2 linked regions of the Macaca mulatta genome follow. The protein of the gene in region 2 purifies or fractionates together with the protein of the main gene of each other region. This does not show direct contact. Links are inferred from orthologs where the notes say so. Each region holds a gene or a part of one and is shown on either strand. Other genes may lie near its edges.

The links. Proteins that work in one complex are often made in the same cells at the same time.
Region 1: the proteins of PSMD5 (region 2) and PSMB2 fractionate together in Homo sapiens (co-fractionation; 3 studies listed by BioGRID). This does not show direct contact. The link is inferred for Macaca mulatta from reciprocal best matches to the Homo sapiens genes PSMD5 and PSMB2.

Annotation. Positions count from the first base shown.
Region 1 is NC_133406.1:205,188,016-205,196,243, reverse strand, and holds the start of PSMB2 (proteasome subunit beta type-2), read right to left. Parts: upstream 4,818-8,228; 5' UTR 4,715-4,817; coding exon 4,624-4,714; intron 1-4,623. UniProt on the Homo sapiens protein: Non-catalytic component of the 20S core proteasome complex involved in the proteolytic degradation of most intracellular proteins. This complex plays numerous essential roles within the cell by associating with different regulatory particles.
Region 2 is NC_133420.1:37,373,562-37,381,253, forward strand, and holds part of PSMD5 (26S proteasome non-ATPase regulatory subunit 5), read left to right. Parts: intron 1-2,771; coding exon 2,772-2,914; intron 2,915-4,983; coding exon 4,984-5,175; intron 5,176-7,692. UniProt on the Homo sapiens protein: Acts as a chaperone during the assembly of the 26S proteasome, specifically of the base subcomplex of the PA700/19S regulatory complex (RC).

The DNA.
Region 1 (8,228 bases), on a different chromosome or scaffold from region 2:
AAATAGATGCTTGCATCTATCCTGAACATGTACTGACTTTTTTTCTGGTCATTATTCCTTAAACAATACAGTATAACAACTATTTACATAGCATTTATGTCATATTAAGTATTATAAATAATCTAGAGATGATTTGAAGTACACAGGAGTATCTGCATAGGTAATATGCAAATACTATACCATGTATATAAGGAACTTTAAGCTTCTACAGATTTGGGTATCTGCAGGGGTTCTGGAAACAATCCCTACAGATACCAAGGGACGACTGTATATTGAATAATTTCACTAATCATTGCTTTTAGAAGATTTTAATAGGTAATGGTATCAATTTATCTCTTTCATTCTTCATGTTAAACCATCAGCATATTGTGTAGTGTCAATTTCAGTTGAAGAATATACATGAAAGCTACCAATTAAAAATACAAGTTAAAGCATTGAAAAGCATTTGAAATGCAAGGAACAGAACAGAAAAAACTGAAGGAATCCAGCCAATGGCGATTATCTTTAGGCTCATGATAACAAAGCCCTAAAATGTTTCCACAACTACAAATGTTAGTTATTATATTTATACACACACAAAAGTATATATGAAAGGGACTGATGCTACAATTAAAATTAAGGAACCATCTCAAGAAAGAATAGAAAATCAACTGAGAATATTAATCACTTTAAAAAGTAAACAAATTCCATTGCCAAAGAAAAAGAGAAAATTAAAACGATTGCCAAAGCAAAAATTCTAGTGAATATTTTGACAGTAAGCTACTTAAAATACCTCACAAAAATCCTAATACTCTAATCTTATCTAGCTGAACCAGACTCATTCAGATTAGATAGATAAATATTCAGGTTACAGTTATTGCCTAAGGTAGAAAACTCCACATTCAGTCTGCAGCTTCAGAAAAGGCCTAAATCTTCCTATCTCACTCTCACTTTCACTTTTCATTTTTCAAATAGTGCTGAATAATCTTCCCTGGGAGACATGTTTCCTGTTTGAAAGCTTCTGAAATGTCAAAATCCTTTAATAGGATTTAAAGAACAAAATGCTACTGTCAAATACTTTACAAGTGTTTCAGAGTTGTAGATACCAGTAATATGGCTTCTTAGACTTGGAGGGAAAAAACACACAAAATGCACCTGTAGATAGCACCAAATTGCCTCAAAACTCCTGAACAAACACACTTTTATTTGTTGTACAGGTTACATTAAAGACTGTTAGTTTGCAATATTAGTAAGAGAAAAACGTTCGCTTATATTATCTATGCAAAAAAAAAGGAGCAGAAGGGTATATGCTAAGTGCTTGCCAGTGGTAAGAGTATGGGCAGTTTTTGTTCCCTTCTTTTTGCTTATCGGTATTTCCTAAAACTTCTATACTTAATATGCCTCACTTTTATAAGAAAACATTATTCAATAAGTTGGCAATATCATTAAAATAAGAAAAAAGCTATTTTTATTTGAGGGGGGAGCTTGTTCACAAAGAACTTATGTCACACTTAGAAGAAAGGCTAAAAATCTAGGCAGTAACCTGTTCCATTTTAAAATTAGCTTAATACAAGGCCAAAAATGTTTTTTAAACACTATGACCAATGAGTCGCAGAAGGCAACATATTTAATAAAAACACAAGAGATAGATACTAAGAGACCCCTGAGTTGTACAGGAAACTGCCTGTGTAGCTCTGGGGAATTTCTGATTCTTGACAAGGAACTTACAAGATCCACATACATGAAACAAATGGACAACAAAATGAACAACATTAGCATGTCATACTGTGGAAAACCAACTGGACTAGAATCCAAGAGACCTTGGTTATGACGTGGACTTGGCACTCTGAACTTCAGCAAATTACTTGTCCTCTCTAAGCCCCAGTTTCCAGATGTGCGAAATGTTAATAACATCACTTACCCCTGTCTAACTCACAAGTGAGAAAAATTAATGAATTCTATACATGTCCAATATTATGATACTCAGTGTTAGATAATGTAGCTCAGATCATACATGCTATAGGAATTCAGAAAAGAGAGAATTCTGTGTGGGCTGGAGTACTTCGAGTAACTTAAAAGCAATTCTACATAGGCCAAGAGAAGAGACATGAAATGCAGCACATAAGCAAACCACAAGTTGTTACCGCTTAATAAGGTGGCAGTCCTCAGCAAATGTCTACTCTATAGTATCAAAATGTTTATACAAAGTGATATACTGGACAATTGATTAGAAGTTGTATTATCATTTAAACTTGGAGAAAGGAGTCCCAGAAGGTTATTATTTTGCAGCATTCTTGCCTACTCTAAACAAGCTCCATCATTAAATGAATGATTAGAAAAAAGTCATCATACGGCCGGGCACAGTGGCTCATGCCTGTAATCTCAGCACTTTGGGAAGTCAAGGCAGGTGGATCACCTGAGGTCAGGAGTTTGAGACCAGCCTGGCTAACCCGGTGAAACCCCGTCTCTACTAAAAAAGACAAAAAAATTAGCCGAGTGTGGTGGCGGGTGCCTGTAGTCCCAGCTGCTGGGGAAGCTGAGGCAGGAGAATAGCTTGAACCCAGGAGGCTGAGGTCACAGTGAGCCAAGATCACGCCATTGCACTCCAGCCTGGGTGACAGAGCGAGCTTCCATCTCAAAAATAAATAAAGTCATCATACAATACTAAAATTTATATTATAAATGTTTTTATACCAGGAAAGACCATAGGGAAAATCAGAATGTGTGGAGTGCAATGATTTCCAACTATTTTTCAAGAACTAACTCAAATTCGTCTTTCTCCCATACCATAGTGATCATTCTTTTATTACTTAGGATTTGCTCTTGAACTCATTAATTTAAAAACCAACCTAATACTAACTAGTAATACTTCTTTTACCACATAAAATCATCTTGCAGTATTTATTTCCTTGTTTTCTTAATGTCTTGGACTCTTCTATGGGTTATAAGTAATATACTGCATCCCCTATAATGACTAAAAGTACTGTGTACATAAGTAGGCTTAAAGCACGTTCTTCTTTTCAATGTGATTTCACATACATTTTTGGGATGAAACAAAAGACCTGTAAAGGTAATGATTATTGTTCTACCTAGACATGACTTAATGCTAAAATCACTTGCTTGTCAAAGACCTCAGAATTCAAAATAATGGACAAATTTACTCTCAAAACAAATTCACTCCTTTGGGAGGACTAGCTTACAAACAAAACTTCTACAAACTAATCATAGAATTTCATAAAGTATCAGGTGCTGTGTTAAGCGATTTCCATCAATTCATTAACCTTTTAAGATAGGTGCTATTACATCACCACCTTATAGATGCTAGCTTTAGGGCACGGAGTTGGAGAAACTTACTTCAGGTCACATGAGGCAGAACCTGGGTTCAACCTATGCAGTGAGTCCAGATATTTTGCCCCTAACTACTGTACTATACCGTCTCTCTACAGTAAATTACTCAATACATAATTTTAAGAAGATTTTGGTTGTTTTTCCTGCAGAATCTAAGTTTGTTTTCCTTAATTGATCAAAGACGTGCTACTGTTGAAAAAGTATTAAGCTCTGGTTCAGATGACTTAATGTTCATTTGACAAATGTTTGGGCACCTGTGTATGCTTAGTATTAAGTACCTGTCTAGTGCGAAGGATTTGCGCATAACTCATTTACTCAATCCTCCCGACAAGTCTGTGAGTTTGGTATTGCTAATCTTAAAGATGAGGAAATCTGGGCACTGCGAAATAACTTAATCAAAGTCATAAGGCAAATAAATGACAGGGCTCCAATCTCCTAACTCCATTAACTACTTAAATATAAGGAAAACCTGGCAGCCATTGTCCTGGAAAGCTGAAAAAGAAGAATCGGGAGCCACCGGGAGATACGGGCAGCGGAAAGAAAATGACAAGCTTCTGGTATCACAGTCTGACTGTCCCCAGGATCCCACCTTATGTCGCCAACAAACCTCATTACTAGCGACAACAGGAAACTTTTATAAGAGATTCGGGGATCTAGAGAGCCAGGTTCTGGGCAGGCGCTTAAACATTTATAAACAGATTCCCTTTAGGCAACTCTCACCAAGCAAGAAGCATTTAGCGAAGGCCAGAGCAGAGCACTGACCTAGGAGCCCGGGAGGAGCAAATGCCAAGGCCCCAGACTTGTCTGCCTGTTGCTTCCGTTATTTTAAAAAAAAAAAAAAAAAAAAAAAAAAAAAGGCCGAGCACAGCGGCTCACGCCTGTTATCCCAGCACTTTGGGAGGCCGAGACGGCGGGATCACCTGAGGTCGGGAGTTCGAGAGCAGCCTGACCAATACAGAGAAACCCCCCCCATCTCTACTAATAATACAAAAATTAGCCGGGTGTGGTGGCGCATGCCTATAATACCAGCTACTCGGGAGGCTGCGGCACGAGAATCGCTTGAACCCGGGAGACTGAGGTTGTGGTGAGCCGAGATAGTGCCATTGCACTAGAGCCTGGGCAGTAAGAGCGAAACTCCATCTCGAAAAAAATAAAGTAATTAATTAAGTAAGTATGGGCAGGGCAGGCCGGCTTCCACCTCTTCGATCCTCCCTGGCACACATTCAACCCCCGACAAACTCCCTCTGGTCGCCCCGACACCCCAGGCCTGGCCGGGCCTCCCCTGCTTCCTCTCACCGTCCTTCATCTGGACAATATTGCTGGCGGCCACCCGGTCGGAGGCGACAAGGACATAGTCGGGGCCTTGGATACCGATTAGGTACTCCATGGTGGCGGGAGGCCAGGGGCTGCAGGTCCGACAAAGCGCGAGACTCGCCGGCTTCCAGGTCTCACCGGTGAGACAGCACCTACTAGCGAAGATTGGCGCGACGCCGGCTGCGCGACTTCCACGGCGCTCTCGAATGACGTACAACTGTCGCGAGAGGTTGGAAAGCGGGCGCGGTGCCGGGTTCCTTGAGCTCGGCGCTTGTCTCCTCCGACGCCGACTGTGCAGGTCACTTACGTTATGTGACGCCCAGTTTCTCTGTCTACGCACTGGGATTTTAAAACTCGCTTTAGGATAAAATCACGCAGTGTATGTAAGGTGCCGAGCACGTGTGGGTGTCAAAAAGGGGTAGGTCGCCAGGCAGCCGTTTCCCTACGTTGCTCAGTAAAATCTCCCCAGAAACCCCTTTCCTGCAAGCCAGATTGGAGAAAAATTAACTTGAGGGGAGACTTACCTCCATCCTTCACAAAAATAATATATGGTTGGATTAAAGATGTAAGAATCGGCTGGGCGCAGTGGCTCACGCCTGTAATCCCAGCACTTTGGGGAGCCAAGGCGGGCGGATCACCTGAGCTCGGGAGTTCGAGACCAGCCTGACCAACATGGAGAAACCTCCGTCTCTACTAAAAATACAAAATTAGCGGGGCGTGGTGGCGGGCGCCTGTAATCCCAGCTACTCTGGAGGCTGAGGCAGGAGAATCACTTGAACCCGGGAGGCAGAGGTTGCCGTGAGCCGAGATCGTGCCATTGCACTCCAGCCTGGGCAACAAAAGCAAAACTCCGTCTCAAAAAAAGAAAAAAAAAAAGATATAAACATGGAAGAAAAAGTAAAAAATTTTTTTGTAATTTTTGGAAGAGATGTGTTTCTAAGTGTGACAGGGAACCCAGAAGCAGTATAAGAAAAGACGTGACAGATTTGACTACATAAGATTACAAGTCTCTATGTGGTGAAAGTCATTCTCATGCTCCACAATAAATGTAAGTTGAGGATGTTTCAATTGTAGAAATAGTTACTATTTTGGACCTTATAGACAGAAAAAAGGAAAAAGTTAATATCTATAACTTAGAAGATATTCCTACAAACCAATGGGAGGGGGGCGGGGGGAGCAATATCATTTTTAAAAGACCCGGCAGGCCGCGGGGGTTCACGCCTGTAGTCCCAGCACTTTGGGAGGCCGAGGCGGGCAGATCAAGAGGTCGGGAGTTCGAGACCAGCCTGGCCAATATGGTGAAACCCCATCTCTACTAAAAATACAAAAAATTAGCTGGGTGTGGTGGCAGGCGCCTGTACTACTCGGGAGGCTGAGGCAGGAGAATTGCTTGAACCCAGGAGGCGGAGGTTGCAGTAAGCCAAGATTGCGGCACTGCACTCCAGCCTGGGCAACAGAGAGAGACTCTGTCTCAAAAAACAAGACCAAAGACTTAAGAAAAACAATTCACAAAAGAAGCAACACGAATGGCCAATAAATATGAAAATATCCTCAACCTAGATGGTAATTAGGAAAATGTGAAATAAGAAACAATGAGAAAGTATAAATTAGGGGTAAGGTTCTAAGTTGTACAACCTTTTTATAGAGAACAATTTTAATATCTGTTAAAATTAAGTGTGCATAACCTTTTGAATATGTCCAGAAGACATGTTTGTACACACTGTCCTAATATTTGTGTACAGAGATATTCAGTGTTGCCGGGCACAGTGGCTCACGCCTGTAATCCTAGCACTTTGGGAGGCCAAGGCAGGCGGATCACAAGGTCAGGAGTTCAAGACCAGCCTGGCTGACATGGTGAAACCCCGTCTCTACTAAAAATACAAAAATTAGTTGGGCGTGGTGGTATGCGCCTGTAATCCCAGCTACTGGGGAGACTGAGGCAGGAGAATCACTTGAACCCAGGAGGCAGAGGTTGCAGTGAACCAAGATCACACCATTACACTCCAGCCTGGGCAACAGAGCAAGACTCCGTCTCAAAAAAAAAAAAAAAAAAAGGATAGTTAGTGTTGCAGCACTACAACACAAACAACACAAAAGAGGACCAACTTACATGTCTAAAAGTGGAGACGTTGGGCTGGGTGTGGTGGCTCATGCCTGTAATCCCACCACTTTGGGAGGCCGAGGTGGGTGGATCACCTGAGACCAACCTGACCAACATGGTGAAACCCGGTCTCTACTAAACACAAAAAATTAGCTGGGCGTGAAGGAGGCACCTGTACTCAGGAGGCTGAGGCAAGAGAATCGCTTGAACCCAGGAGGCAGAGGTTACAGTGAGCTGAGATCACGCCACTGCACTCCAGCCTGGGCAACAAGGGCAAAACTCTGTCTCAAAAAAAAAAAAAAATTGGACAGTCACAGTGGAATATTGTTCACCCATAAAAAGAATGAGACAAATCTAAATATACCTATATATTCCATGGCCCAAGATAAATTAAGTGAAAATAAAAATGCTTTTTTATCTGTAGCCTGATGCCATTTTGTTTAATGATGAATATTTGAAAATGAATGGAAATACCTGTAAATACTTATTTACAGGTATTCTAGTGTCAAATTATATGCAGTTATTACCCTGGTGAGTGTAATTTGAAGGGAGAACTTTCACTTTTTATTTTATACACATGAGTATTGTTTGAATTTTTACAATGCTCATGTATTATTTGTATTTTTTCTAATAAAAAAAAAAAAGCCAGCCATTCCTTTATATCTTGAAGCAATTCTGAAAAAAAAGGTGAAATATTTCTTGATTGGGTTTCTGACATCTACAACTGAGTCTTCATATTAGCTTATTGAGAAATGGGAAAAGAGTTGCAATTGTATCTCCAAACACAACTATGCAATTCGTTTGCCTCTGCAGAAATTGTAATACTTACTTTATTCTGAATGATTCTTCCAGCTCCCTGCTCATAAAGGAACACAGAGCCTGAGGAGTTTGAGGCAGCCTATTAATCATGGGATGAATGCCAGGGGCAAGTGAGGTCATTAAGTCAACCATCCACTATGAACACAGCTGCATCCATCATTCTAGAAAGATTCTTTTCTTAAATACCACTTGGAGGGGGTAGGTCTCTCTCTCTCTCATTGTGTATGTTTGTGTGTTTTTTTAATTGCAAAAAGTACGTAGTTATACTATATATACACACATACACAAACAATATAGAAGAAATAAAGAGTTAAATACCTTTCCTTCCATCAAAGGTAACCACCCACCAAATGTCTGTATCCTTCCAGACCTTTCCTTTGTACATACCAATATTCATTCATTCACAAACGCTGCAGATTTCTGAATTGGCAGATCCACAGTATTTTTATTATTTTTTTTTAAGGACTATCTTTTTTTTTTTTTTTTTTTTTTTTGAGACGGAGTCTCGCTCTGTCGCCCAGGCTGGAGTACAGTGGCCGGATCTCAGCTCACTGCAAGCTCTGCCTCCCAGGTTCACACCATTCTCCTGCCTCAGCCTCCCGAGTAGCTGGGACTACAGGCGCCCGCCACCTCGCCCGGCTAATTTTTTTGTATTTTTTAGTAGAGA
Region 2 (7,692 bases):
CGTCTGTGATTTTCTCTATTAGAGACTTTGCCCAGGTCACAATCTCATGACTGATGTGTGTCCTGAAGGAGGGACCTTTAGAAAATTGCTCAAGTTACATCATGACAACATACTGGAACTTGGCAAAGCCCCACATGACAATTCAGCTACTTTCAAGTGACTGTGTTCCCTGTCCCTAGTCCTGTGTGCTCTTAAACAGTTGCAATCACATGGTAACTGCCATTTTGAATTACTAATAGTTTGTCATATGCATTTATTTTGGCATTGTTAAATAGCAACAGTATAGCATGATAGAAAAAATACGGGCTAGGCCGGGTGTGGTGGCTTATGCCTATAATCCCAGCACGTTGGGAGGCCGAGGCGGGCGAATCACGAGATCAGGAGTTCAAGACCAGCCTGGCCAACGTTGTGAAACCCTGTCCCTACTAAAAACACAAAAATTAACCGGGCATGGTGGCATGCACCTGTAGTCCCAGCTACTCGGGAGGCTGAGGCAGGAGAATTGCTTGAACCTGGGAGGTAGAGGTTGTACCACTATACTCCAGCCTGGGCAACAGAGCAAGACTCTGTCTCAAAAGAAAAAAGAATATGGGCTTTTCAAAATGAGGAAGAGTTGGCTTGCATACCTCTCTACTATTTATTAGCTGTTAGGCCTTGGACAGGTTATTATAAGCTTTCTACATCCCAGTTTCCTCATCTCTCAGAACAGTAACTGAAAAAGATATTGTGCCGGGCACAGTGGCTTACGCCTGTAATCCCAGCACTTCGGGAAGCTGAGGCGGGTGGATTACCTGAGGTCAGGAGTTCAGGACCAGCCTGGCCAATATGGTGAAACCCCGTCTCTACTAAAAAAAATACAAAAAATTAGCCGGGCGTGGTGGCAGGGGCCCGTAATCCCAGCTACCGGGAAGGCTGAGACAAGAGAATTGCTTAAACCCGGGAGGTGGAGGTTGCAGTGAGCCAAGATCGCGCCATTGCACTCCAGCCTGGGCAACAAGAGCAAAACTCCATCTCAAAAAAATAAATAAATAAAAAGATATTGTAAGAATTAAGCTAATTGACCTTAGAAAGCAGTACAATGGCTGACATAGGTTCTCAAAGAAATGTTTTTTTTTTTTTTTTTTTTTTGAGACGGAGTCTCGCTCTGTAGCCCAGGCTGGAGTGCAGTGGCCGGATCTCAGCTCACTGCAAGCTCCGCCTCCCGGGTTCACGCCATTCTCCAGCCTCAGCCTCCCGAGTAGCTGGGACTACAGGCGCTGCCACCTCGCCCGGCTATTTTTTGTATTTCTTAGTAGAGACGGGGTTTCACCGTGTTAGCCAGGATGGTCTCGATCTCCTGACCTCGTGATCTGCCCATCTCGGCCTCCCAAAGTGCTGGGATTACAGGCTTGAGCCACCGCGCCCGGCCAGAAATGTTAATTCCAGTCTCTTCCACCCTTTATTCCCCCATTCCCTAAATCCCCTTTAATATCTGCCAAATGTTCCTTTGTTGATATTCCACAGCTTATTAATACCTCCTCACTGTTGAACAGTTGATTTGCTTCAAGTATTTTGCTGTTATGATAGCATTATAGTTATCTTTGTGTATATAGGTTTTGATTTTTCTTATCTTAAATGATTTTCTGATTGTCCTGTGTTCTTTAAACATGGCTGAATTTATTAAACCCATATAGTAAATCAGTCACTAGTTACATTGCTTCAGTGCATTTGAGTGTCTCAACCTAATGAGACAATTAATTTTGTTAATTATTTTTTAGCATTGTATCAAATTTTGTGACATAGGAAAAAACCCTATAAATGGTCAGTCAAAACACTTTAGGATCAATTACCAACTGTAAAAATAAATTTTTTAGTTATTTTCTTTGATCAGGGTTGGATATGAGATGATACCAAAGAATTATTGTTAATTTCTTAATATGTGGCAGTGGCATTATAATTGTGTGAGGAAACATACGTGTTTTGCAGAGATGCATACTAAAGTACGCAGGGGTAAATGGCACGGTGACTAGGATTTGCTTTAAAATAGTTCAGCAAAAAGTAGGGAAAAGAGATGAAATAAGTAAAGCAAAATCCTCATAACCATAAAATCAGGTTATGGGTATATGGGGGCTTATTGTATTCTCATTACTTTTGTGTATGTTTGATACTTCAAAATAAAACAAAATTTAAAAAAATATTTTAGGAAGCAGCTAGGTTATAGTGGAAACAATAGTGGACTTCAAATCAGAAGGTCTAGATTTAAATATAAACTCTGTCTGTAATAACAATGTGATTACAGATAAGTCACTGCAACTTTCTAGGCCTTAGGGCCTCATGTGAAAAGAGGAGCCAAGATTAAGGCCGGGCGCGGTGGCTCAAGCCTGTAATCCCAGCACTTTGGGAGGCCGAGACGGGCAGATCACGAAGTCAGGAGATCAAGACCATCCTGGCTAACACAGTGAAACCCCGTCTCTACTAAAAAATACAAAAATCTAGCCGGGCGAGGTAGCGGGCGCCTGTAGTCCCAGCTACTCGGGAGTCTGAGGCAGGAGAATGGCGTGAACCTGGGAGGCGGAGCTTGCAGTGAGCTGAGATCCGGCCACTGCACTCCAGCCTGGGCCACAGAGCGAGACTCCGCCAAAAAAAAAAAAAAAAAAAAGAAAAGAGGAGCCAAGATTATTGACCTTTCAAATATGATGGGAAGAATTAAATAAGATAACCTATATGAGAGCAATCTATAAACTATGCAAATCCTGTGCAAAAATCTTGTTTTTGTCCTTCTGACATTTTAGAGCCACCTGTATAGAAATGGTGACATCACTGGCATATACTCATCATGGACGACAGTATCTTGCTCAAGAAGGAGTAATTGACCAAATTTCTAATATAATCGTTGGGGCAGATTCAGACCCTTTCTCTAGCTTCTATTTGCCAGGTAAGAAACACTGATGCCTATGGAAATGATGGTGCATGTTTTATTTCTGAGTTATCTCTGACGGCAGGGGGTTGGGGTTGGGAGTGGACAGGGATTGTTTCCCTTAGAGCTGATTTCGTTTAGAAGATATCTAGAGCTACCAAATTCAAATTCAACAGCACATTAAAAAGATCATCCACCCTGATCAAGTGGGATTTATCCTAGGGATGCAGGGAGGGTTCAGCATACACAAATCAATAAATAAGATATACTACATTGACAGAATAAAGATGGAAACCAAGTAATGCGGGGAAAAGCGTTTGACAAATTTTAGCTTTCTTTTATAATAAAAACTCTTAACAAATTAAGTATAGAAGAAATCTATCTCAACACAATAAAGGCCAAGTATGACAAACCCACAGCTAACATACTCAGTGAAAAGTTGAAAGCGTTCCTCTAAGATCAGGAACAAGGCCGGGCGTGGTGGCTCACACCTGTAATCCCAGCACTCTGGGAGGCCAAGGCAGGTGGATCACAAGGTCAGGAGATCGAGACCATCCTGGCTAACACAGTGAAACCCCGTCTCTACTAAAAATACAAAAAAATTAGCTGGGCATGGTGGCACACGCCTGTAGTCCCAGCTACTCAGGAGGCTGAGGCAGGAGAATCCCTTGAACATTGGAGGTAGAGATTGCAGTGAGCCAAGATCGCTCTACTGCATTCCAGCCTGGGCGACAAAGTGAGACTCCATCTCAAAAAAAAAAAAAAAAAAAGGAACAAGACAAGGATGTCCACAATTACCACTTCTATTCAACAAATTACAAGAAGTTATAGCCAGAGCAATTAGGCAAGATAAAAAAAACAAAAGGCATCCAAATCAGAAAGAAAGAAGTGAAAATGTCCCTATTTGTAAATGATGTAGTGTTATATTAATATATAGAATAAAGATTCCACCAAAAAACTGTTAGAATGAATAAATAAATTCAGTAAAACTGCAGGATACAAAATCGGTGCATAAAAATCAGTAGCATTTCTATACACTAACAGTGAACTCTGAAAAAGTAATAAAAGATACATTCCCATTTACAATAGCATTCAAAAAAATTAACTATTTATGAATAAATTTAAGGAGGTGAAAGATCTATACGGTGAGAACTATAAAAACTGATGAAGGAAATTGAAGAAGACACAAATAAATGGAAAGGTATCCTATGTTCATGGATTGGAAGAATTAATATTATTAAAATGTTGGTGCTGCCAAAGCACCATATAGATTCAGTGCATTCCCCACCAAAATTCTTAAATTTAATGACATTTTTCACGAAAGCAGAAAAAAAATTAAAAATACGCGTATTTCAGAATACATTGTTCACAATAAAGATATATGATTTTTTAATTTGTCAGTTAAAAGTTAATTTTATTAAAAAGATACCTGTAGCCTCTTACTGAGGTGGAATCTGTTGCTCTGGGAGCTATGTACTGTTGACTTTGATTTTCAGGAAACATCAGTGCTATTTAGAATATTAGGAAATTTTTCTTTTGAATATCAACAAAAAAATAAAAATACTAGTAATGACATTTACAGTATGTTTCACAGATTAATCAAGTCTCTGAGTGGGAATCTTTATTGTAGGATCTACTCTTGCCATTCTATTCTGGGTCTTGGTTAATTAGTCTTTCTTGAACACTTCCAGAAATTGGAGATGTATGCCTTCCTTAGGTAGCCTAGCTACCTAGCTACCTATTTCATTTATTAATGAACATATCCACTTAAAAATTTCTTCCTGGTAATGAGTCTAAACTTGCCTTCCTATAATTTGTATCCACTGGTCCTTTTTCTTTGTTCTCCCTCTTGCATATGCCAGTACTTCAATAGCTGGTCCCAGCTCCATTGACACCCTCTCTCAGGATCACACATCACAGGTCCTTCAGAATCTCCTAATGGTCTCTCTGATCTCCAAGCAACACACTACTGTAACCTTTCTACGCTTTCTGGCCTGCAGTTCATTTCTATTCCTGTGAAGTTATAGGGCCCACAATTCATGCTGTCTTGTTCCCCTATTAAAATATATTCTTGTAAATCTCTTTAGGATTCGTGAAGTTTTTTGGAAACCTGGCTGTCATGGATAGTCCTCAACAGATCTGTGAGCGTTATCCTATCTTTGTGGAAAAAGTCTTTGAAATGACAGAAAGTCAGGACCCCACTATGACTGGTGTAGCTGTAGACACAGTTGGAATCTTGGGATCCAATGTTGAAGGAAAACAGGTTTTACAGAAAACAGGTTGGTATGACTTGGCCCTGTTCAGGGATATCTTAATTTTTGACAGGGGTTCAATGTGTAAGTTCATTTACTGGTGGGTTAACTACATTGTAGAAACTATTTTATGGGTGGCAGTCTTGTTAACCATAACCTTGGACTCATATCTGAAAGTCTAATAATTACTATGGAAAACCTTTTTTTTTTTTTTTTTGACTTTTCACTGTTTAGGTTTCTACCAATCTATTTCAACCAAACATTGTTTCCTGTTTCCCCTCTGTGTCTTCTTTGACTAGATTTCATGGTACAGATGATGGGCTAGAATCAAAAAGGCCTGAATTCATGTCCTTGGGTTTTCTATTTCTTTCTTTCTTTTCTTTCTTTCAGATTGGGAGTGTCTCTCTGTTATACAGGCTGGCTTCAAACTCTCAGGCTCAAGCAATCCTCCTGCCTCATCCTCTTGATTGGCTGGGTCTGCAGGTCCACACCATTGTGTCCAGCCCTGACTTTGCTTTTTGAACTTCATTTACTCACTTTGCTTTTCTAGGCCTCATTTTCTTCATTTATAAAAATGGCATAACAACTACTTCTCAGGGTTGTTGGGAGTATTTACAAAATTTTGGGTTTTTTTGTAATGTCAAGAAAGGAAAATAAAAGTTTGTTATATGATTTCATGTTAAGAGATACTTTTGGCATGTTACGAGATACAGTAGCTCATGCCTGTAATCCAGCACTTTGGGAGGCCAAGGTGGGTGGATTGCCTAAGCTCAGGAGTTCAAGACCAGGCTGGGCAACATGGCAAAATCCTGTCTCTACTCAAGAATACAAAAATTAGTCAGGCATGGTACTGTGCAACTGTAGTCCCAGCTACTTGAGAGGCTGAGGCAGGAGAATTGCTTGAACCTGGCAGGTGGAGGTTGCAGTGAGCTGAGATCGTGCCACTACACTCCAGCCTGGGTGACAGAGTGAGATTCTATCTCAAAAAAAAAAAAAAAAAAAAAAGAGGCCAGGCAAGGTGGCTCATGCCTGTAATCCCAGCATTTTGGGAGGCCAGAGCAGGTGGATCACTTAAGGTCAGGAGTTCGAGACCAGCCTGGCCAACATGGTGAAACCCCATCTCTACTAAAAATACAAAAATCAGCTGAGCATGGTGGCGCATGCCTGCAGTCCCAGCTACTCGGGAGGCTGAGGCAGGAGAATGGCTTGAACCCAGAAGGCAAAGGTTGCAGTGAGCCAAGATCATACCACTGCACTCCAGCCTGGGTGACAGTGCGAGACTCTGTAAAAAGAAAAAAAAAAAAAAAAAAGATACTTTTATGGAACATCCATGAGAATCAACAGCACAACAAATTATACACACAAAATAATATGCAGCCCAATTACTAAAATTCTTGAGACACATATGTTGAAAATTATCTCACCTGTAATCCCAGCACTTTGGGAGGCCAAGAGGGGAGGATTGCTTGAGCCCAGGAATTCAAGACTAGCCTTGGCAACAACAACAAAAAAATTGGCCAGGTGTGGTGGCACATGCCTATAGTCCCAGCCACTCGGGAGACTGAGGTGGAAGACTCATTTGAGCCCAGGAGATGAAGGCTGCAGTGAGCCTTGATCACTCCATTGCACTGCAGCCTAGGTGACAGAGTAAGACTCCATCTCAAAAAAAATTTAAAAAGAGGCCGGGCAAGGTGGCTCATGCCTGTAATCCCAACACTTTGGGAGGCCAAGGCGGGTGGATCGCCTGAGGTCAAGAGTTTGAGACCAGCCTGGCCAACAGTCTCTACTAAAAATACAAAAATTAGCTGGGTGTGGTGGCAGGCACCTGTAATCCCAGCTACTCAGGAGGTTGAGGCAGGAGAATCGCTTGAACCTGGGCAGTGAGCCGAGATCGCGCCATTGCACTCCAGCCTGGGCGACACAGCGAGACTCCATCTCAAAAAACTAAAAATTAGAGAATAGAAAAAGAAAATACGGCCGGGCGCGGTGGCTCAAGCCTGTAATCCCAGCACTTTGGGAGGCCGAGACGGGTGGATCACGAGGTCAGGAGATCGAGACCATCCTGGTGAACACAGTGAAACCCCGTCTCTACTAAAAACTACAAAAAACTAGCCGGGCGAGGTGGCGGGCGCCTGTAGTCCCAGCTACTCGGGAGGCTGAGGCAGGAGAATGGCGTGAACCCGGGAGGCGGAGCTTGCAGTGAGCTGAGATCAGGCCACTGCACTCCAGCCTGGGCGACAGAGCGAGACTCCGTCTCAAAAAAAAAAAAAAAAAAAAAAAAAAAAAAAAAAAAGAAAAAGAAAATACACTGTTGTGTATCACGGCTGATATTTTTGTTGTATGTAGTTTTCTAAGTGCTTTTACCTATGACAATCTTTTTACAATCCTGTAAAGAACATACTATTGTCATTTTCATTTTCCAGATAAGGTAGATGAAACTTAGAGGAGTTAAGAAAATTTCTAAGGTCATACAAATTAGGGCAGCTGCTACTCAAATCCAGGTCCTTTGATTCCAGTTTTATAACTCTGCCTTATATATATGCT